Caenorhabditis elegans: one gene and its partners. The protein of the gene in region 2 interacts with the protein of the main gene of each other region in a pairwise test. Each region holds a gene or a part of one and is shown on either strand. Other genes may lie near its edges.

Region 1 (7,178 bases), on a different chromosome or scaffold from region 2:
TGACATTTGACGTGCGTCGCGTGTCAGCGTAGCGGTTCCTTCGAAACAACAGAGAAAGACCCTCTTCATTTACTCGAAGAGACCTAGAGACATCAGGAGATGACCTTTGCTATGTGTGTTTGTAGCAGTGGAAGGAAGGAAAGGCCAGATGTTGTGAGGACGTATCATCTGCCAGAAGAACTATTAGACATTGAACAATTGAAGGGAGACGCAGGGATTTTGCGCTTTGAATCCGCATTTATTGCGATTGTAATGGATCCTTCCCTCGACCACACAGCCAGCCGATGGAAATGACCGTTGTTGTTACGGCTTTGGGTCAACTCAACCATATTGTTATTATTATTTTTTTTTTAAAGTGAGAAGCGGGGAATGATTGATGAGTTGAAGAAATACATAGTGGTCTAGAATTTGAATCAGAAAATATACAGTAAATTAAGTGCTAAATCGAGTATCTTCCACTCAGTTACGGAAAGGCCCATCTGCGTGCCTACCGTGGGTGTAACTCGTTTTGAATACCGAGTAACGGCCTAACGACAAATTAGACGTAGACGGCCCAAAGGAAGGTATTTATGTTTCTACACTGAAGACCGAAAGTAAGCTTCTCAGTAATGTTTTCATACTATTGTCAGATTCCTATCTTATGCGTGAGCTATTTGATGGTACCTAGATAAGGGTAGATTTATGCATTTACGGTTACCCTATTTTTTTGCGAAGGAGTTGAAAAGGTTACGATCATCAAGTTAAAGGAAATCTGCCAAACCCTCAGCTGCATCGAATGCGTAGGAATGTAGGCATATCTCCATGACTATGTTTACATAGCTAGATTTATAAATAAATCGATTTACGAAATTCTTAGCTTAAGAAATATTTAACACCTAACTAGGAAATAAAATAAGCTTCAGGGTATTACTGAGTACTGCTTGTATCTCCACTTTTCCAGATATTTCAATTTTTTATGAAAGTTTGACCGTTCTTATCGCAGCCTTGAAAATAAGTGTAAAAAATCCCAAAACAGTTCATATTTATTTAGGAAATTTTTAATTCTGTATTTATTGGAAGAAAGTATAATTTGTTCTACATGTAGAACATCCCATTTGATGGTTATGATATATGTTTAAACGAAATCTGTGGGAAATCAAGCATGTTGTAAAATATTTATTAGCGCCCGTATCATACAGAAAAGTGAATTGATGATGATGGTAACAGGGTATTTTATCACAGAGTAAAAGAGAGTGACGGAGCAATAAAAAGAGCTCGTTTTCATTCCAACCCTCAAATCGATATGCATCACATTAGAATCGATCATTGAAATAGTCAAAACGGTCGAACTGAAATATAATATTTGATTTGCATATTTAGTTTTTGAGGTCAGATAGTGAAATTTTAATTTGCTGTCAAAATGGCAATTACTCAGTTTTCACCTTTCATAATATTGGAAGTCGATCGAAAAAATATTTTCACAGTTTTATATTTAACTGATGAATAAATATTCAAAAATTGTAGAATTTAAACATGCAAGAATGCACCGAGTTTCTCAAAAAGTTCAATTTTTCAATAATTTGGCAGATTACCAAAAAACCGGCAATACTGCAAAAATTACATTTCTTCCGCAACTCACATCATAATTTTCCTTGAACAAAGCATCATCCAACGCGTCCTCACTTTTGTGATAAGTATCATATTCAGCGTTACCAATTTCCGCTGCAGGTGTGTAATCTTTTTGTTCCAATTTCGAAAAGTCAATGGATCGGAAAAATGGATGGGCGTGAAGAACAGTGAATGAGCATAAACGATGGGTTATGGAAACTGCTAACATCTGAAACTAATGATATTAACGTTTTTTTCCGAGTTTCTGAACTCACTCTATCCATAAGGTTGGCGAATTCACGTGAACATCCTATAGGAGTACTGTAGTCAATGAATCTGAAAAGCATAAGAGATTATTCTAAAATCTGTGATGTGAACTTACTTTAAATTAGCATGATGTGTGGCTTCTGAATTTGGATATGGATATATTCCAGTTAATAAAATATGCAAGAGTACACCTAATGACCACCAATCAACATAATGAGAATATGTTCCACCAGATGCCACGTCAGGTGACATGTATTGTAATGTTCCACATATTGTTCCGGTACTAGAACCTTGTTTCAGCTTTTTTGCCAAACCAAAATCAATTAGCAAGGCGTGACCCCATTGATCTAGAACTACATTTTCCAGTTTTACATCTCGATAGATCACGTCATTCTGGTGTAGGAAATCTGAAAATAAAACACCGAATTTCTTACATAACCGTTATTATATTACCAATAGCTGATGCTAACTCTGCTCCAATCAACCTAATAGCAGCTTCTGAAAGAGATCCCCGTTGCCTCCATACTGAAAACAAGTCACCAGTTGAACCAGTTGGGTACTGTAGTAAAGAATAGAGATGAGTACGTGTCTGCCACGTAGAATAAGTTCTGGCGATGAATGGATGAGAAGGAAGAAGACGCTGAAAATGTGAATGATCGGATGTAACGTCTTGCTGGCAAACCTGTATACTAGCTTCTCGTTTGACCTGTAAAACGGCTCGTTTTGAAATGATCTCCCTTTTTTCTTGCATTTTGATAGCAAACTTCCTCTCTGAATCATGAATTGCACTGGCACAATAAACAACACCAAATGAACCACGACCAAGCTGTCTTTCTAACTGAAATTATATTTCATTTTGAAAAAAAAATAAGTGAATGAAAATAGTTCCTACCACAAAACTTTTCTCGTTGATAACACTTCGAGTTGGAAATTCAGGTAGGAAGAGATGCTCGAACCAGGGAATTGCGAACTCTTTTCGTGTGGGTTCTGCTGAAAAATTGGGAGGCCAGTTACTCTAGGAAGCTGTTAAAACCCTCGGAAATGGAAACTTTGATTTTTGGGAGTGTGGCTTCAATATCATGTTACAGTGACTTATCTTAAAACGTTATCCTCTCGAGTGATAGCCACGTGTTCCAGAAGACCTCCTGGAACCTCCTGGAACACGTGACTACCTCATGATACAGCAAAACATACGTTTTTCATAATCACCATAATCGTCTACAATGAATCTTGGCACTGGTGGACGGGGATCAGCTGCAAATTTTTAATCTTTTTTTTTTGTCTCTAGAATTTTTTTTCTTCAAAGTTGGCTTTCAGAAGTTCACATCAGCAAGATTACCATTATTGTGTATTATCAAATCCAGAGAGTACATCACAAATCACCTGATGTCATTGATCTTAAGTGTGTCCCGCCGAAATACGGATCATTATCAAGATTAAGAAGTGGGCTGCCATTGAGATGTACTCACAAATGTAGGTAAACAATGCTCTTTTTTTTTAATATTGTGGAAATCAAATCTGGAGATCGTACCTTCTTCAACTTTATACGTTCTTCTTTTCAAGTGAGGACGACATTTTTTCAGTTTTTGTAGACGAGATTTGAAGGCGAGCTGAAGAATTGGGGGATTACTGTAGTCTGATGTTTGTATAGAGAAAATTGATACTTCTTGATAGTGTAATGATCAGATCAAGAAGACATCAAGTAGACTTTAGAATTAAACATTTTGAGTAATGATACTAGAGTGTAATTCTTTAAGAAAACATGCTATAACATCAAAGCACACCAGATGATAATTTTTCACGAAATGAGTATGGCCCACATTTTTGGGCCAAATATACGGTGTGTTTTTCATAAATAGTATTTCTCATGATTCATATGATTTGTAAAAGTTTATTTATTGTTACTGTTTTATTCAATTTTTTAATGAAAAAAAAACCATATTTTTATCGAAAGACTTCAAAAATCATAATTTCACAGAATCTGCGCAGAAAATTTTAGAAACTACAGTAACCTTTGAAGGCGCACACCTTTTTGCCTTTAACAAAAAATTGTCGTGCCGACACCGGGTACTGATTTTCTGACTCAAAAATTATGGGGTTATTCAAGTAGTGTCGGGAAAAAAAAAATTAAAAAGTGTAGAAAAATTACGTCACACATGTATTCAAGTAAAAAAAACATGTATTTAAATACATTTGTGACGTCACAAATGTATTTAAATACATTTTGCTACATTACTTGAATAACCCCATAAATTCGGAAATATCGCCTATTTCAGAACTCAAAAGGAGCTGAAGAGTCACTGTTTGGAGAGGAAACTTCCTTCCTTGAAATGACTGATGCATCATCATGATGACTTCTCAGACAAACCATATCATACTAACTCCTATTAAGTCATAGTTAGGCAGCTCTAAACATAGTTAGGAAGAGTTATTCAGAGTAAATCAGATCGACAAAGTACAATCAGACCAATTCCGAGCTAGGCATAGTTAGGCAGATCTAGGAATGAGCTAGGCATAGTAAAGCGTGGTTACTCCGAGTAAAACCACACTTGCACCGAACTGCGGTTAGTGTGCTTTACCATTATGTAACTCCGCTTTTTACTCTGAGTTAGTATGATATGGTTTGTCTGAGTTTTTGAATAATTTTTTAGTTAAAACAAAGAAAATAAGTGGATCTTTCAAGGTTTTTTCAGTTCTCAGTCACCTTTTGATATTCATTTTCAGCCTGCGGTTCTCCAATTCTTAATCTTTTCTTCGCTGGTCCATCTTCATCGTCGTCTAGATTTTCCTCATTTCTTCCAATGTGATGATGACATCCGGGCCGTTTTCTAGTCGCCACGTTACCCATTATTGCTGCTGTAGCAGCTGTAAGCCGGCCAGACGGTGATGGCGAGGAAAGTTTTTTGGAAAAACAGACAGTAGGAGTGATTAACAAGAAAACGGAATGTCCCGTGGTTGTGGCGGAATGATGAAAGAATTTTTGGGAGCAGGAGGAGGAGAAGAAGAAGGACACAAACATACAGGAAAAGAGCAAACAGAGACAGTGAGCAAGTGTGATCAGGAGCAGGTACACGGATTATAAGCACTGAGACACATTGACTCGATCAAATTTGAGTACTGATCAGACGGTGGACTTTCGAATTGACCCCACTTTCTCTAATATTAGTACAGAGTCAGGAAGCTTCAATTGAAATCATATGGAAAATGAAGCAGAGCTATAGTAGAAAAGAAATTCACAATGAAATGGGATTCAAAATTGCCTCAATTCAAATTCTCACACAAATTGCTTGAGACAAAAAAGCTCTTGAAATTGGATACTTCCACTTCTTCAGCTTCATACCAAAAATGAAAACTGCTCAATGGGGCGAGATTACTTAGAAAATGGAAGGGGAGCCGAGTCTTCAAGGAGCGAAAATCGATGGGCGACAGAGGGTGAAAAACTGAGCGGAGAGCAAAATAGTTGGGAGGGAACTAGTAGTTATTTATTCCAAACTATCCTATTCGATATTTTGTATTCAACTGAAAAAAAACCTAAGCCGAATTGTACCTTCAAAAAAATATAATAATCTCAATGTTTTGTCGAAATTTGAGCACAAAACTATTGTTTATAGAATGTTAAAATTTATATATAGTACACGTGAATTTTGAAGTTGAGAAATCAATGGGCAAATTGAAACCGTATTGTGTTAATTTATCATTGGATAGTTTCACGAAGAGTGAGCAGAAAGTCGAGGAGATTGTTTTCCAAATCACATCCATCCAAAATTCGCTTTTCGCAAGTCTGAAATTGAACTTTCATTTCTATTTATGTATTCATCTTCCACCAACCGCAACCAGTTTCCCCATTACTCCAATATTCTCGTCATTGATAACATCTTCATCCATCAACTGTTGGAAACAACGACGAATGAAAGCAACACCAGTGCACGATTTTGTGATATCCTTTGTCAATGCAATTATTTGGGGAACATCAGCAGTCAGGATTGATTTGCAAACGTTTGAAATGAGTAAACTGTCCGAAGAACCACGGAGATAGCAATTTCGAGCATTGTCATCGCCCTGGAAATATAAAGTACTATTTTTACACAATATTTATAGAAAAAACAACTAACACTTTTCAAAATTGGAGCCAATGACTGAAGTGTACATACAGCTCGTCTCAAATCACCTTCTGAATATTCCATAACTTGTTTCAGTTCATCATCACTCATGGGAGTTCCTTCTGCATCACAAATTGTTCTCAATCTAAAAACACCGAAAGTTATAAAAAACACTTAATTTTGAAATTTCACCTTTGAACTTGAATCTCGGCTGGAAGTGATTTGAATCGGAACTTGGCACAACGGCTCACAACTGGAGGAATCAATCGGGAAACATAGTTGCAGATGAGAATGAAGCGAGTAGTTTTGGAAAAATCTTCAATAACTCTGCGCATTGCTGCTTGTGCTTCTCGGGTCATCGCATCAACTTCATCAAGTATGATAATTTTCAATTTGAGAACATCTTCCCTATGGCTGTGGCCCAAAGATGACTTGGAGAAGGATTGAATCTAAACAGGAAACGTTTTTATAATTATGGAATTCTTAATTAATTAAAAATCAGTGGCAATCTTACTTTTTGACGAACAACTGCAATACCACGCTCGTCCGATGCATTCAAATCAAGAACCCTATCGCTGAAAATATAATTATTGGAAAAAATTATCACCCAGTATTTCACTTACTGGAAAATATTTTTTGGGAAGAGTTGGCGGCAAAATGCAAGAGCTGCTGACGTCTTACCAGTACCTGGTGGTCCATAGAACAAAAGATGTGGTAACTGAAAAATTAAAACGATTAGTTTGAATAATTTTTTAAGCAATACGTCTCTTCCTTGAAGCGCTCCTTTCAGCATTGTGACGACTTCATCCTGGTATGCAATATCGTCTAGCGTTTTTGGACGACTGAAAATTTGAATTTACTTTGCAAATCGAAAAACAAAAAACTAACTATTTTTCTGTCCAGGTGAGCACCTTTGGTCTTTTATTGTCAACTTCCATTGGTTCTTCCATTGTTTCTGTTAAATTAATGAATTTTTCATAAAATAAAGACATTATACAATATAAAAATGAAGAATTTATTGAAAATAAACTGCCAGAGAGAAAAAGTATGCAACACTCCCGCCGAGAGTGTTTGAAATGGTGTACGGTACATTTTCGTGCTAGGAGTTAGATGTGCAGGCAGCAACGAGAGGGGGAGAGATTTTTTTGGGCCTTGTGAAATTAACGTGAGTTTTCTGGTCATCTGACTAATCATGTTGGTTTTTTGTTGGTTTATTTTGTTTTT
Region 2 (6,545 bases):
TTGGTCTTGGAGGTGCCGCAGCAGGGAAGTCTCCATACAGTGGACAAGAAGTTGATCAAGTTGAAAATACTGGAACAACTGTAAAACCATCGGCTCTTTTGAGTGTTTTAAGCAAGGCCGACACAGGATTCAACCAAGTTATTGATCATTTTGAGAACGGAACTCCACCAGAGGCAGCTTTCATTGATATTTTGGAAGTGGCTCTCGGATCTCAAAAACTAGATTCACAGGCTAAATTGTTGGGTCATGTTGATAGAACAATTGGATTAGATAATCTTCAAAGACTTCAAAGATGGGCTAATACTGCTGGAGCTATGGATGTATTCAAAGATCAGGTACAAACATTTTAAAAAATCTTTAAATTTTCGAAAAAAAAAAACGAATTGAATGAATCAAAAAAAAAAAGCCAATTTTGTTTCAGTTCGTAAAATTCGCCAAGAACTTCCAACCACCACCTGATCTCTTGCCAACAGTTCCTCCACAACTTGAATATCTTTTCAAAACTTCAGGAAAATAATTTCTTCTCCTCTTTCACATTGAATTCCCCTAATTTATTTTTTAGTTTTTATTTTACAAAATTCAATTCACCAGAGTCTCACTACCTAACTCATTCCCTTCTCATAGTTTTATTCCCCACTTTTTTCTTCCTTCTTCTGCATTTCCACTGCATTTCGATCGACCTCAAAACGGGATAACTCACATTTTTCGAGCAACTCGAATTTGTTTGCGAACACTCTTTCTTTGTCTGTTCATTCTTTTGATTCTGCTCAGTTTTTTTTGCCATCCACTATTTATTTATTCAGATTGTTGTAAAACAAATTTTGAAGAAAAAAAAACATGATAAAATAAAAATGAACAATTACTTGTGCTTTGAATTTGAGAAACGAAGAGGGACAAGTTCCAGAAAAGGGACAACCGTAGGAGGAATGAATGAATGACAAAACGAGTGAAAAAGAATGGAAGAATTATGAATGAAAATTCTATGGCTCTGAAAACTCATGAAAAATCACAGAAACATTTAAATAGACATCAATCAGCAAAAAAATCTACAAAGATTTCAACAGAAATTCACAAAAGACACTCTAAAAAAAGGGCTGGAGACAAAAGAGATTCATGTCAAAATTAGGCAATACTTACTAGAAAAAACATGAGTATCTATACACAATTTACACAATTTCTATTCGCTTTGATCATCCATCAAATCTGCTTTCGTTCTCTCAGCATTCTCAATTTGAGACATCAGATTTTCCAGACGACGCTTGATGCGTTTCTGATCATCAGCAGCGCACTGAATTATGATCTTCAAGAAGTTTTGGCAGGTGGCTCCAGCAGTTTCTTCGTACGAACAGGCGTTCATGTAGGTTTGTAGGCACTGAAAAATATTAGTTCATAATCAATTTATAAAGGAAAAAATTCTTTGAGCTGACTGAGAATATTCGAAATTTAAAAAAGTTTATTAATTGTTTGTTCCTCAAAATTGGTTCACTCGCATAATTATTCGCATAAATGTAGGAGGTTTAATTCAAAAAATTTGAAATGATTTTCTAGTTTTCATTATCTGTTTTTAAGTAAAAGATCAGGAATTCAACTTTTGTTACATATGACAAAATTGCAAGATTTCGTTGTAGATTTTTATTTACTTGAACTAAAAAATTCAGTAATTTGCCACAATTTCTAAAATAGTCTAAATAATTTCTCAGGTTCAAGAAACCTCAAAAGAAAAAAAAACATACCAGCTTAGCCTTTTCAATATTCGAATGCATCATTTCTCCGACTTCATCGATCATCAAAGTTGCATCTTCCAGTGCTTTTTTCTGTTCTTCATTTCGTGGAGTTTCGACAACAACTTGAACTGTCTTTGTTCTTTTTGTCAATCGGTCAGTGATTGCTTCAATCTCTTCACGATCACATTCTTCCAGTTTGAACATGCAGTTATGAACACTGATTTCTCCTAGAGAACGAAGAATTTGCTCTTTTTCCATTTCGAGTTCAGCAGCTTTTTTTCTGAAAAAAAAAACATAATTTGAATGATTATCAGATAAGAATATTGCGAAACTTTTCTAAACCATTTCCTTATCAGCAATAAAATTTAATATAATGCTCACCTCAACTGCTCAACTTGTAATTCAATTTTATCCAAAGTAACAATTGTCTTGGCATTGAAATCAACAACACTTTGATTACGTTGAAGTTTCTTTCCTCTCTTTGGCTTTCCTTCGGTGATTGGGGAGGTTAGTGGAGATGGGTCGCCGTCCTGAAGTAACAAATGTCAAAACGTGTAATTATAATTCAATTCGACTCACCGTTTCTTGTTCCGGACATAACTCGCAATTATTCTTTCCGATCGTGATCTTGGCAATGTTCTCTTCAAGGTTCTCATCACCCTTTCCAGAATCACGACTACCTTTCTTCTCCAGTGGTTTCTCCTTCTTCTCATATGGCAATGGAATAACTGCTGGTCTCTCGGGTACCTCAGGTTCCTTTGGTTCACGAGTACGAGATGGTGGTCGAGATGAAGCTTTTGTTGACGGAGGAGTTGTCTGACGTTGTTGAGCTTGTTGTGGTTGTTGCTGAGAATATTGTGGAGGAGCTTGATTCTGCTGAGAGTTGCGTCTTAATGTAGAAGTTGGAGATTGAGTTGATGTTGGTGTTGGACTTCTCCTGTATCCTTGCATCGGTGGGTTTGGCGATAGTCCTCCATCTCTTCCGAATCTTGGAAAATCAGGGAAATTAGAACTTCCATTTGAGAATCCACTTGGGAAATTTGGAAACGACGGGAAATTCGAAGACCATTCAGAATCGTTTGGGAACCCAGATGAAAAACTGGGAAAGTCCGGAATAGGACTACGAGATGGGAAGTTAGGTGAGAATCCGTTGGAATGATGCATATTGGTATTCACGTTTGGAGCCTGCTGGTATTGTTGCTGAGATTGCTGTTGTGGTTGCGGTTGAGGTGGCTGCTGTGGTGGTTGATTTCGATCGTTGTCAACAGAAGACGAGGAGTTACTTCGACTATGTGATTGATTCTGACCAAGTATTTTGATTGGTATGTTCTGAAACATGCTGAATATTAGGATGGTAGAAATGAAAGTTAGAATCAAAAAAGATAAGAATGAGTGAGTTGGTTAGTGTCTCTTGTGTTTCTGTTTGATAAGAGTGACTCCTCCCACTTTTTTCTCGTTTTTCAATCATATTTCAGCAGAGGCAAATGAAAATCGATTTCGAAACTGTATTTTTCGAATTTCCATCTCTACTACTAAATGTTTCTCTCCTCCGAACTGTTGTCCTATTATCGACAGGTCGAATGGAACGTTTCAATTTCGATGGATTAGCGATAGAAATGTTGAGATAAGTCGGGCAAACGATTTGCATGTTCAAGGCCATTTTCGCACCCATCAAAAAACGTCCAGAATATTCTTTTTCTCTTTCATTGTAATAGTTGAGTTATCAGTGTGTAAAAAATCCTAGACGCAGGCACGTTAAGCAGCTGTCTTTCTTTTAGAGACAGGGCTTTATTGAAGGGAACAGAGGATAACAACACAATTCTCGTGGCACAGTGTAATGTTTTTTTCTCAAAATAAAATAATTTTTCTGCGAAAATGTGCCAGATGAGACTCAATTTTCTGGAAGAATCCGAGGCTCCGTGAGACAGAAAATTATGAAACACAATAACCCAGTTTTTTGTAGACCTCCAGGTTAGACCAGCGTCTGAGTCTTTTGATATACCAGTTCTTTTGTTTGCAGAAAAGTGTTAATCAGGAAAATTTACGAGAGCAAATAATGTCTGGTACGTGAATGAAGCAGCTGATAAAAATTGAAACTTACCACGACTGGCATTGTTAGCAATAGGTCAAGTAGGGTAAAATAGGGGCAATATGGGATGTGAGAAGGTCGATGTCTCGTTTGCTTTCAATATGCGCGGAACACTCGGACCGGTTCGCCTTTTCTGGAGGAGAAAGAGGTGGGAAAGCAATGCAGGGGAAAAGCAGCAGCGACACAGACACCGAAACAAAAAGTTTTGACAGTCAGTCACTGGTGGCGGTTTGACACAAACGGTCTGAGTCTCCTATTCTCTCGGAAAAAAGAGGCAAAGAAAAGAGAGTTACGAAACAATTGATGGCGGGCGCCCGGCCACGCCCATTCAGTTCTCCGCAGTTCGGGAGTCTTCGAGAAGAAATATGATGGGAGACAGTGTATATGGAAACGAGACGCAGAGATTGGTTTGAGAATCTAGACAATCAGTGAAACGCGAAGATTCAGAGATGAAAATGATAGGCACTGTTTTACGAGGTGTTTTGTTGTTTTTCAGCTTTTCCAAAAACATAAATTTTGGCAACTATAATATATTTTTCACTGCGAAGCTGTGCTGCACCTTTTATTTCTGTGTCTACTTTTCAAAGTGAAAATTTTTTTTTGATATCGATCATTTTTTCGTAATATTTTTCCGATTTTTTTAAAGTATTAGAGAACCCCACGTCGCCTGCATGACTAGCATAAATTTGAGCTACATCTTCCTCTTGTCAATGACTGCCAATTTAACGATGAAATAAGAATTGTTGAAATCTAAAATCTGAAATGTGCAGAACCGAAAAGTTAGAAATGTAGAAAATAGGTGGACACCTAGGCAGACAAGAATGGGGTAGGCGCATATGCCTAAAGATATGTTATATATCCCTAAGTTTGATTTCAAAATTTTGACATCTAAACGGTCGGTATACAATTTTTATGTAATAAATTTAATTTAGAGAATATAAAAAACTAGGCTAATCACATCTTCCATAATTTATTAGTCACTCTTATCAGTAGACAGAAAAATCAGACAAAACCACAATTTTCATCCCTCCACAAGAGATCTTCATAGTTTGTTTCTATGTGTTTCCGGGGAAACGCCCAGACAGGATAGAAGGATAAGATCTCCATGAAATGGTCAACGAACACAATGGTCCAAAAGGAATGATAATATCAAAAAGAATTTGAAATATTCTACTATCAGCAAGAATGCCTGAATCTAATATTGAAATTGAACGCAGAAAGAGTTTCTTTGCTGTATTTTTTATCGGGTGACTAACCACAAAGAACCGTCGACCCTAGATGGTCAATTGATTTTATACGGCAAAAGACACTGTGATGAATCAATTATATAAGGGTGTGGTCAAGTCGTCGGTTAAACTTCAAATTGTAAGATAGAGAAACAAAAGGAGAAGAAAAAGATGAAGAAGACGAAGAACATGTGATGAATGAATGGAACCGAATGATAGGACGGGTGGGGTCGGTGTCCAAACATTGAAGATGCTACTTGCTGTGCTTTTCGCCTTTTTTCTGTTTGAAAAACCACAAACTAAATTAGTTTAACGCCTTATCCGTGTTTGTACCGCGCAAATAAATGTGCAAAACGATGGTTTTTTGTGTTGGACGAGAATGTTCTATTCACTGTTTCATAATAGGATTTTTGAAATGAAAAAGCGTGCTTTCAGACAAAAATACGGATGAAAACACTCCTAAAATCATAATATGATTTTTTTTGAAGTTTTGCATCAAAGTGTAACATTTATAGTTGTATAAGTAATTTAAGAAGTTACGCGAATTTTTGCCACAAATGTTCTCCTAATTTTGAAAACTCACTTTAGGTTTTTACAGAAATCTACCGTTGTATATTAGCACGTGGAAAACTTCAGAAAAAGTTTCGAGGAAATATAAACCTTGAAAATTCTATTTCATCAATTATAACGTAAATAATGTGCAACTAACTTAGTTATCAGTTGTTCTCTGCTATCGTTTTAAAATGTGTATCCGGAAACCGGATGTTTTTTCAAAAGACCTATATGAAAATAGTTTTCACTTGTCACTAATTCCAAAAACCAACAAATTGACTTTAATGATATCAAAATCTAGTGAACAGTAACCAGGTACTTCCGATAAAAAAAAACAATGTTTTTCATATTATCTGTACAGTAGGCGTCACGTCATCTGTTCCCTTGTTGTGTCGGAAATCTGACTCATGATTTCCCCTTTTCTCACAACTTTTTCTTTCAATTTTGCACCTCCACCCACACATACTCGTGTCTGTGTTTGTACAAACAATCAGTGATAGGCAACCAAATCGTTCGTATATTTTGATGTCGGAGAAAAAGGACTGAAGAATTTATGGGGAGAAAATGTTGACACAAATGTACGTACAAAATTAATGGTTTCAAAATTTGACTCCTCCTTTCTTGAACGGAATCGACAAGTGCCTGAAAAAATTGGTACTTTCTTGGGTACAAAAAAATAAATAATACTTGAAGTTGCAAGATTTGTAAACAGGATTGTAGAATACCATATCAATTTTATTCCGATCAATTTGCAGAGAAGATACCAACACTAGTCTGTAATGTTTTATTGAAATAATTGTTCTAATTTTAATTTTATTCCATAAGAAATTGACTATCCTGATTAAAGTTAAAAAAAAACGTTAACTTACGGAGAATCAATAACAAAGTTTAGAATAAAATTCCAGAACTCTGCGGCTTCTGATGTATTTTCTGGTTGTAAAAGCACCACCGTGA
Region 3 (8,802 bases), on a different chromosome or scaffold from region 2:
CATACCCGTGGAGTGAAGATCCAGAAAATTCCGAAACTCTGATGAAGACTAGGGCACCCGCATGGTGTGATCGGGTTCTGATGAATAAAAATGCATACTCGTTGGTGGAAGAAGGAGAGCCTCAGTATAGGTCATTTGGAATGGAAACTTGTACTGGAGATCATAAGGTAATATTCTAATTTTTGGAATATTTTTATTAAAATACTATATTTAACAATGACATAATTTAGTGTAGTTTTATGTAGTGAGAGACAAATATCTTTTTTTAACAGATTTTTTGGTTTTTTTTTAACTCAGATTTTATAATTAAAAAAAATGCTTTGAAAAGGTTTTGAAAATCTTCACAAATGATTGAAACTTCTCAAATTAACTCATTTTTATTCAAGATTTGTCAGTTTGTCGTTGACTAGTTGACTAGAAAACGTTGACTGGAAGCTGTGAAAAAGAAATGGGAAAATTCATGTCAAATTTTTATTAAGAATTCGAGTGAATTTAATTTGATATTATATTCAGACTATTTTCAACAACTTGTTGTTGCTATAAAAATAATTCCTTAAAAAAACTTTATTTAAAAAATTTGAAATTTTTTTTTAAACAGTATATCAAAATAGCTTGAACAGCATTAAATAATACTATTTTTAAACTTTTTCAAAGAATTATTCAGAATTACAAAATAAAAGTTAACTTGTGTTCAAATTGAAAACAACTTTCCTGAATACTTGAATATCAAAAAAAAACATGTTTTAAATATAATTTTGAATAGCTTTATGATGATTACATTGGATTAATATGTTAAAAAAAAACTACACTAAGACCTCGTTTTAGTTTTTATTTTAAATAATCTTTTGAATTCTAAAACTCTTTAATCAACAAAAAAATTTGAATTATTATTTTTTCAGCCGGTCATGCTAACATTCAACATCTGACATGGTTTTCCATTTTCCCTCATTTTGGCCAGCCTCCATTTTTCTTTTTTTTTTTCTTCATCTCGAAGCTACGGATAAACATTTTCAAATTGGCTTGCGCGAACTCTGAGTTTCGAATACCTACTTTTTGTTCTCGTTGTTACTATCAATTTTCAAACTCTATCAAAATTCCATTTTTTCCCAGTTCGCTTTTTTCCGCTAGAAAATTTATTTTTTCATTGAATGATCAGAAACGTGTTTCTTTTCTTTTTTCTTTTTATTTTCATATAATGCACGGGGAACTCTTTAACTTTTTAAAACAATTTTTATCATAATCGATTTTTTGTTTCTTTTTCTCTCCATTTTCAGTGATGTATTGCTAGTCTTATACACTTTTTGCTTTGCCTGACACTTTCCATCAGTATCAATCAATTGTTAAAACGAATCATTTGATAAAATTGCGATCTTATTATAGATTTAATGAAAAGATGAACATTTACTCCAGAAAATTGATGAACAACCAATAAGATTTGTAGGTATTAAATGTATTGAAAAATGAAGCGGATTGAATTGGAAAATGAATCGTAAACATGTTTAAAGAAAGGATTATGGTTGAGTCTACAAGTTTTAATGATTTACACTACAAGAAAAAGTTGATTTATTAGAAAAATGTAAAGTTTTTGTTGCGTTATTCGGGTTGGTGAGGAAGCAGGCGGCGATATTTTTGGTTTCATTGCTGGATTGCCAATTGTGGGAGTGGAGCCTCGACAGTGAGCACGCCATCAGTCGAAAGAGTCGATGAGATTTGTTCTGGGTTGGTGCCTCTTGGAAGAAGGAATTCCTGGAAATTTGATTGTATAGATTAATGCAACTGAATGAAGAGTGACACCTTGGGGCCTCGCTCCATATTTTTAGCCCCAAGAGAACTGTTTGAATTCTAAAATAAAAATAAAAAACACCCACCTGGTTGTACTCTCTGAAAACGGTGCGTTGTGGGGTCTTCTCCTCGTGTTTGGCGTGGACAAGAAGACGGTTGTCAATAGTCTTGACGGTAACCTCCTCTGGCTTGTAGTTAGCTACGTCAAATCTGGAATTTCAGTTTTGTTAAATAAAAAATTCAGTTTTTCTCTTGACTGGTAAAAAATAAGTTTTATCAATTTTTCGGTTATGGTACAGATTTTTTTGACTCGAAATTTCAATTTTATGAGTTTGTTGAATTTAGAGCTAACCAAAATGAAATGTGATTGATATTCATGCTTGGAATAAGAGTAAAATTTTTATGTATAATTTAAAAAAATAACTTTGAAAATATTTTTTCAACTTTGGAAATTGATTTTTGAAAAAGTTAAGGCGATTTTTTTCCTCAATACTTTCATTCATACATTGTTTGGCTTTGAACTTGGACGAGTTATTTGAACATCACAAAAATTCAAAGATTTTAACTTTTGGAGATTTTTCACTACTTTGTCTGAAAGTTTTGAAAAATCGGAAACATTTAGATAATTTTCAGAATATTTATAAAATTTGAGTTCGTTATTTTGAATAGTTTGAGGCCGGTAAATACAGAATTAAAATTATATTTTTAATATTTTTCGAATAAAATTTGAATCTTTTAACTTAATCTAAGAGTTGAAAATGCCTCAAAAAAGTACCTGAGACGAAGAGTCTTTCCATCACTTTCATCCTTGATGAGTGGGCTCTTCAAGTTGTCCAAGTATGGATCGTAGGTTGGACGATGAGCCATCAAGTCGCTGGGTCCTGCAACAAAAAAAGTGAATAATATGAAAAACGCGAATGCGACGTAGCACAACAATAGAAAATAGAGCAAAACTCGTCGCCGAGGTTGCAGTGTTGTTGCCGAAATGTTGCTATGCGGCTGCCTACGCGACCTCTCAGGATGTGCTGAGTGCATAAAACTACTGTGTAATAATTTGGTTTTGAATATATTTTGCGAGTTCACAACAAAAAGAACATATTCACAGAAACCCGCAGAAAGGCAAAAAAGAAAAAAATGTTGCGCTGAAATTTAATACCGACGTAGTGTTGTTGGGAACCATCGATAAATAAGCAAAATTGGTCAAAAGAAAAAAAACCTAATATGAAAACATAAACATTGGTAGATGAGGAATATGCACAAAAACCTCCGGGCAAATTTTTTAAAATTTTTCTTATGGTGTGAATTTTTAATATAGATTTAAATATTTTTATTCAATAATTTAAAGGCTTCAAATTTGCAGGAAAGCTCTAATTGTTTTCAAAAATTTGTCATTTTAACTTAAACTAGGCATTTAGGAAAATCTTTAAAATGTCTAAAACATTTTAGAGATTTAGTTATTTTTTTGCGAAATCCCACTTTTGATATTAAAAAGTTGAAATCTGCATGAAAAGGTCACTACGAAACAGAAAAAAAAACTATATTTTTGACGAAAAAAAAATCTGGTGAGCCCGTCTCAATTGTGCAATTGGGAATTTCCAACGACACATTACTTTTCTACAAGTATGCTCTTAGTTTGTCCTTGTTTTCTGTGTCAAACCAAACTGACAAAAAGAGTTTGTGAGTTGGCCGGCTCATATCATGCCCATTCTGAGTTTTACTCTGATTGATGATGGGCGAATAATAGTAAGGGAAAGAGTTAAAATGACGAATGGATGGATGAAAATGAAACGGAGTGAGTGAAAATTCAAAATTGATGCCGGCTGCAGATAATTTCATACGCTGAATGATGCGTTATTCGTCCCTTTGCTATTTCCTTTCTCCCTCCCGTCCTAAAATTCGAAAATTTTCCGAATCGTTATCGCCAAAATATGACGAATCCTCCGTTTGACTTTCATACCGATTCAAGAAATCCTGTTTTGAAAAGCCATCAAGAACAAGAAACGAGTCTTAGAAAACATGTTTTTTTGCATGGCCAGTTATTGGAACACGACGACAAAAAAAGGAAGGAAGAGAGGGAAAAGGAGGATGAAGAAGTGCCCCCACGCTAAGCACACATAGGCATGCAGCCACTGAAAATTTCTTCATTTTGCAACCATCCATTTGGGTTTTTTTCTAGCGCTGTGAAACAATGGGATTGGAGGTGTTCATAAGGGCTTTGCAGAAAATCTTTCAAAAAATATGAATATCCATTTTTTAAAATTAAAATAAATATACGAATGTAGGAAAAAAAGCTCAATATTAAATATATATATATATATATATATATGTTTGTAGAAAGTTCCAAATAATATTTTAAATAGTGTCTGAAAATTGTCGTTTGCCGAAAAAAATTTAACGACATAAGGGCAGCTTTCGGGCACTATTTCTGGTTTTTCTCGAACTTTCTAAATAAATAAAAATCTTGTTCAAAATTGACCAAATATTATTCTACACGTTTACTATGTATAATTTTTAATTCAAGAATTGGATTATCATGCTAGAAGGAGCAGTTTTCAGCATACCAAAAAAATGCTGTTGTGTTGTGGAAAGTTGGGAAGTTTTTTTTTCTTTGAAACCTTTCAGCAAATTTTTTTTCTATCTCAAATAACTGTGTACAAACTAACCGTGGAAAGATGGTGGTGGAAGTGGAGATCCGAATCCACCAGTACGGTTCGAAGTCTCGTGGTGAGAAGAAGTGTTCGAGTAGGCGTTGTACGGCTGATTGGAGATGGCAGCCGGTGGGCCTCCGTTTGGACGATAGCCTGCAATCATGAACCTCATCACCCTGTCTCCAAACGCAAGGTGACCTTGCTTTTAAAGTGTTGAACTAATTGACGTAGTCGGGGGGATAACGCACTAATATTTCGGCAAGAGATTTGAAGACGAAAATGACAAATTTCGAAGAAAGTTAAGGTGAATGCTGTCACTGGCGCAGTTCCAGTGCATTAGGCACCGCGAAATGAAATTTGGTCAGTGAGGGTCCGGAAAATGACGTTGTCCTCTTTTCTTTGTGTTCTTCTCAGCTTTTTCTCAAAATATTGTCAAGAGGCCTTTTTTCTCCAAAATAAGAGGCAGGAATGTTTTCGAAAACAACTTTTTTTGTAAAATATGGGTTTGTGAAATTGAAGAGAAAGCTTAAATTATTACACAAAAATCTATAATGCTGTGTAGCGCAATTTTCAATCGAAAGTATTGGTTCTTAAATCTACTTTCCGGATCATCCTGGTACATTATTCTTCAAAGTGCTCATTTTGTATGCTCTACTTATAATCTCAAAAACGAATGAACAAACATCAGCTGTCGCTCTCAGGTTTTTTTTTGCCAAGTTCGACGTGCCAACTGAGAAACATAACAACAAAAGAAAAATAAGTGGAATGTGGTGACGAAATACATCGAAACACACAAGAACACAGGATGAATGTGAGTTGTCTCGCTTGGACAAGTTCGGGGGTTTATAACATTCCAAAAAATGGAGAACACCTATTTGAAACTGAATTCCACTTAAAAATTTCAATTTTTTGAAAATTAAAAACTGAAATAGTTTTGAAAGAGTTAGGTAAAACTTGGCGGAAAAATCTAATTTTAAGAAAAATATTTTTTGGAGAAAAACTCAAATTTTTTGAAAAAGGTAGTGGAGGGATTATTGTATTGCTCTAAAAAGGATTAGCTGGGAACTCACACTTTTTAAAAAATATGTTAGGCGGAAACTTCAACTTTTTTGAGAAAATTTTTTGGCTATAACATCTTGTCTATTATGTTGCTCAAAATCTTGGTCAGATGTTTTTCATAAAAAATTAATATTAGAAAAACAATTGATAAAACAAAATTAGCTATATTTGTTTTTTATAGGTTGAGGAGTACGAGTTCTTTTACAATCGGTTGAAATTATGAACAATTAGCCTGAAAGTTTCTGGCAGATGTTGGGAAAATTGACCCATCAGATTATTTTTGAACCTTTTCATACAGCTTTTCAACTGTAATGAGAACTGGTTTTAAACTAATCAAATCTAATGTTCTAACTAGTTGCATTTTTAAAAAGTGCTGAAAAATATATCTAATTGTAAAATACGGGAAAAAATTGACGACTACATATTTAACTTAAAAGTAGATTTCCACAATTAGAAAAAAATATTTAGTTTAAAATAAATTTAAAAAACCAACCTTCAAATTCACTGCGAAGACGTTTCATCTCCTCCTCAACACGACGCATCTCTTGCTCAAAACGATCACGCATATTTCCAAATTCATTGTCAATGACCGAGTAGTTGGAACGGTTTACGTCGATACGGCGTTCCGACATTTCTCTGCAAAATTGTGCGAATAGTCAAACTTTTTATACATTTTCGATAGAGGTAGATAAAAATGATATGAAAGTTATGATGCGTTATGAAAACGCAAACAAAACCGTAAAACTGCGATTTGAAAATTTTAAACTTAACAACGTCATTGAAAAGTGTGAAGTGGGAATTCGAAATCGGAAAAATGGACCATACCTTTTACTATAGGAGTAAGTTCGAGTGTACGTGGGCATGATGGAAATATAAAATGAAACTTTTTTTGTTATGATTTGGCTCTAACCACCATTGATGCTTTTTCGTCTTTGTACGCCTTGTGAAAAAAGCACGGGGAAAAATATCGGAAAGGCAAAAAGCATTTTCATCGTTGTCGAAGCACATTCCAAAGTTCTGAATTATCGGAAAATGCTTTCTTCCGACTAGATGATCGACAAATGCTTTCCTTCCAACCAACAGTAGTTTTTTATTTGAAAAATAAATAGTTTTTGACAACACGTGAGTTGAGCAATGTTCGCGTTTTTTTTTTAGAAATTTGAAAGTATCTTGAAACATTAAGCAACTACATATGTCGAAAACTGAAAAATGAAAAACACTAAATCATCTCAAAATTTTTTTCATATGTATAAATATGTACAAGACTTCAACAGTTTGTCCATACTAATTCCCTAACTATAAAAAGGTCTGAAAGTGCCTCCGGACTTTTAAACAAGGCATGTTTAATTTGGAAGCCCGTATTGAAAAATTATGAACAAATTAACGTTGAGCTGCAATGTTTCAGAACTAATCTTGCGGTGAGCTTAAAGATGATCAGAGTACCATAAGTAGCGCATTATCGGTGCTCTCAGGACAGGTGTGATGGTGGTATCAGATAGAAAAATTGTTTTTGGCTAGAGTGTATTATTTTTGTTATTGTATGAATCGTGTGGGATTTTTTTGAAAAAAAAACCTTTTTGTCAATATACAAATAAAAATAATTTTTGAATAAAAATCAGAAAATTTCCGAGCTTTTTATGATATTACAAAAGTGTGTATTGACAAAAACATAATTTCTGCCTGCTACCATACCACACATGTCCCCAGAGCACCGATGGTGAGCCATGCTGCTGTGAGCATCTATGAGATTTCTGAAAATTTGTAGCTTAGAGTTCATATTGGGCCAATTCAGGGGCTTTCAAATGATACATGTCTCGTAGTCCGGTGAAATCTTCAAACCCTTTCTTACTTAGTAAGACATGTTTTATAAACGTGCTTTGTAGTAGAGATAAGAAGGAGATAATAAATCAAAAATAACTATTACGAGATGATGATTAACATTTTTAAACTGCACGAAGAATTATAAGTAGATTACATTCTCTTGATACTTTAGTGACGTCATAAGAATTTTGGATAAATGAATTAGTTGAAATGGGAAGAGGGTATAAATGTCAAGCGAATTTGAATTGAGAACAAGATACTGAACAAACGGAAAATATGAGCTCTCAATTAAATAGTGGAGGACGAGTGACTGAAATCGCTAGAGAATAAGAATATAAGACGGAGACACGCACATATGTGTGTGTATGCTAACATCATTGCACTAAGTATGAGCACTAAGGAGGGTTCACTGTCCTGAACTGCAATATTTGTTGTTTAGTTTATGTGGGTGTTGATAGGCTCGAGGGGGTGTAGATGAGGAGCAGAGAAATTCTGGCCAAGGGGTAAGAGGATATCACGCTGCCAGCCAGCCAGCTGACAAAAAATTAGAGGTACCCCCCCCCCCCGATTGCCAACGGCGAAAAGCATCTTGGACCTCGGTTTGTTGCCCCCCCCCCCCCCGTTTGCTGTAACACCACAGCTGTATTCAATCAATTTTTGTTGATTTCTTCAAAGTGAACGCGCGCAGATGTTTGGGAAAATGTTTGGGAAAAGCGCGCGAAATGAAGATGTACACATAATGCGGCTGACTGGGTGGAAATGATAATGGCCGGTCACGAAAATGGAGAAGACGGCGTTCTTATCGTTTTGATTTAATGGAGAGATACATTTTAATGATCATGCACATTTGATCGTTAGAGAAGGATGATAAGCAGAGAAGCGTAGGGGATGTGTTAATAAGGAAGTTGTTAGAACAAAGTTGATAGGGTAACTTTTTTCTCACTAATTAAAAGTGGAGAATCGCTTTCGGGCTGATAGTGAGTTTTGGAAAAAGAACGGTTTATTTTCAGCTAAAGCTTAGAATATTGTCAACAAGATTTCGGTACGCCACAAAAAAACGGTATCAACCTTGATTTTCTATTTGTATTGATTCAAAATGTGTCTTGGTCGATAAATTTTGTAATGAGAGTGCTCCATATTTTTTCGAAAAAGTTTTATGGCAGTTTGAAAATTGGGAAAAAAAATCACATAATTAGAGCTAATTCTTTTTTTTAGTCATTTAACATTGAATGTTAGTCATTTTTGTCGTTTTTGGATACCTATAAAATTAAAAATGCCAAAATGCGCAATAAACAATGATAATTCAAAAGAAACTGATTCGACGACTGTGGCCCAAAAAGGCTGGCAAAATAAAAGCTTTAGCTAAAATTGGGTAATTTTTCTTGAAATTTTGAACCGCCATAAAAAAGTTTATGTGTATTTTTGAAAAATATTATTTCAAAATTTGTTCATTTTGACACAATTTGAGTTTCAACTATTTTTGTTTTTAGAT

What was found.
Region 1: the proteins of unc-23 (region 2) and F31E3.2 interact in a two-hybrid assay, tested with the Caenorhabditis elegans proteins (one large-scale study listed by BioGRID).
Region 3: the proteins of unc-23 (region 2) and hsp-25 interact in a two-hybrid assay, tested with the Caenorhabditis elegans proteins (one large-scale study listed by BioGRID).

What each region holds. Positions count from the first base shown.
Region 1 is NC_003281.10:6,971,986-6,979,163, reverse strand, and holds F31E3.2 (Putative serine/threonine-protein kinase F31E3.2), read right to left. Parts: upstream 4,827-7,178; 5' UTR 4,703-4,826; coding exon 4,559-4,702; intron 3,465-4,558; coding exon 3,386-3,464; intron 3,109-3,385; coding exon 3,049-3,108; coding exon of another isoform or gene 3,023-3,048; exon of another isoform or gene 2,845-3,022; coding exon 2,747-2,844; intron 2,693-2,746; coding exon 2,537-2,692; intron 2,495-2,536; coding exon 2,308-2,494; intron 2,262-2,307; coding exon 1,970-2,261; intron 1,924-1,969; coding exon 1,863-1,923; intron 1,817-1,862; coding exon 1,568-1,816; 3' UTR 1,329-1,567; coding exon of another isoform or gene 1,293-1,328; 3' UTR 1,144-1,292; downstream 1-1,143. Other genes in the region: rfc-4 (Replication factor C subunit 4), read right to left, coding at 5,549-5,635, 5,683-5,913, 5,967-6,099, 6,147-6,403, 6,469-6,529, 6,578-6,672, 6,718-6,796, 6,843-6,904.
Region 2 is NC_003283.11:8,933,911-8,940,455, reverse strand, and holds unc-23 (BAG domain-containing protein), read right to left. Parts: upstream 4,098-6,545; 5' UTR 3,838-4,097; coding exon 3,826-3,837; intron 3,242-3,825; exon of another isoform or gene 3,063-3,241; coding exon of another isoform or gene 3,054-3,062; coding exon 2,304-3,053; intron 2,255-2,303; coding exon 2,106-2,254; intron 2,005-2,105; coding exon 1,734-2,004; intron 1,373-1,733; coding exon 1,178-1,372; 3' UTR 772-1,177; downstream 1-771. Other genes in the region: T19A5.3 (DUF148 domain-containing protein), read left to right, coding at 1-335, 422-517; H14N18.2 (DUF2726 domain-containing protein), read right to left, coding at 6,191-6,233, 6,279-6,365, 6,461-6,545.
Region 3 is NC_003284.9:6,033,112-6,041,913, forward strand, and holds hsp-25 (SHSP domain-containing protein), read right to left. Parts: upstream 6,534-8,802; 5' UTR 6,353-6,533; coding exon 6,315-6,352; intron 6,126-6,314; coding exon 5,983-6,125; intron 4,832-5,982; exon of another isoform or gene 4,749-4,831; intron 4,591-4,748; exon of another isoform or gene 4,584-4,590; coding exon 4,446-4,583; intron 2,664-4,445; coding exon 2,558-2,663; intron 1,993-2,557; coding exon 1,869-1,992; intron 1,747-1,868; coding exon 1,636-1,746; 3' UTR 1,352-1,635; downstream 1-1,351. Other genes in the region: ipp-5 (putative type I inositol 1,4,5-trisphosphate 5-phosphatase), read left to right, coding at 1-167, 900-926.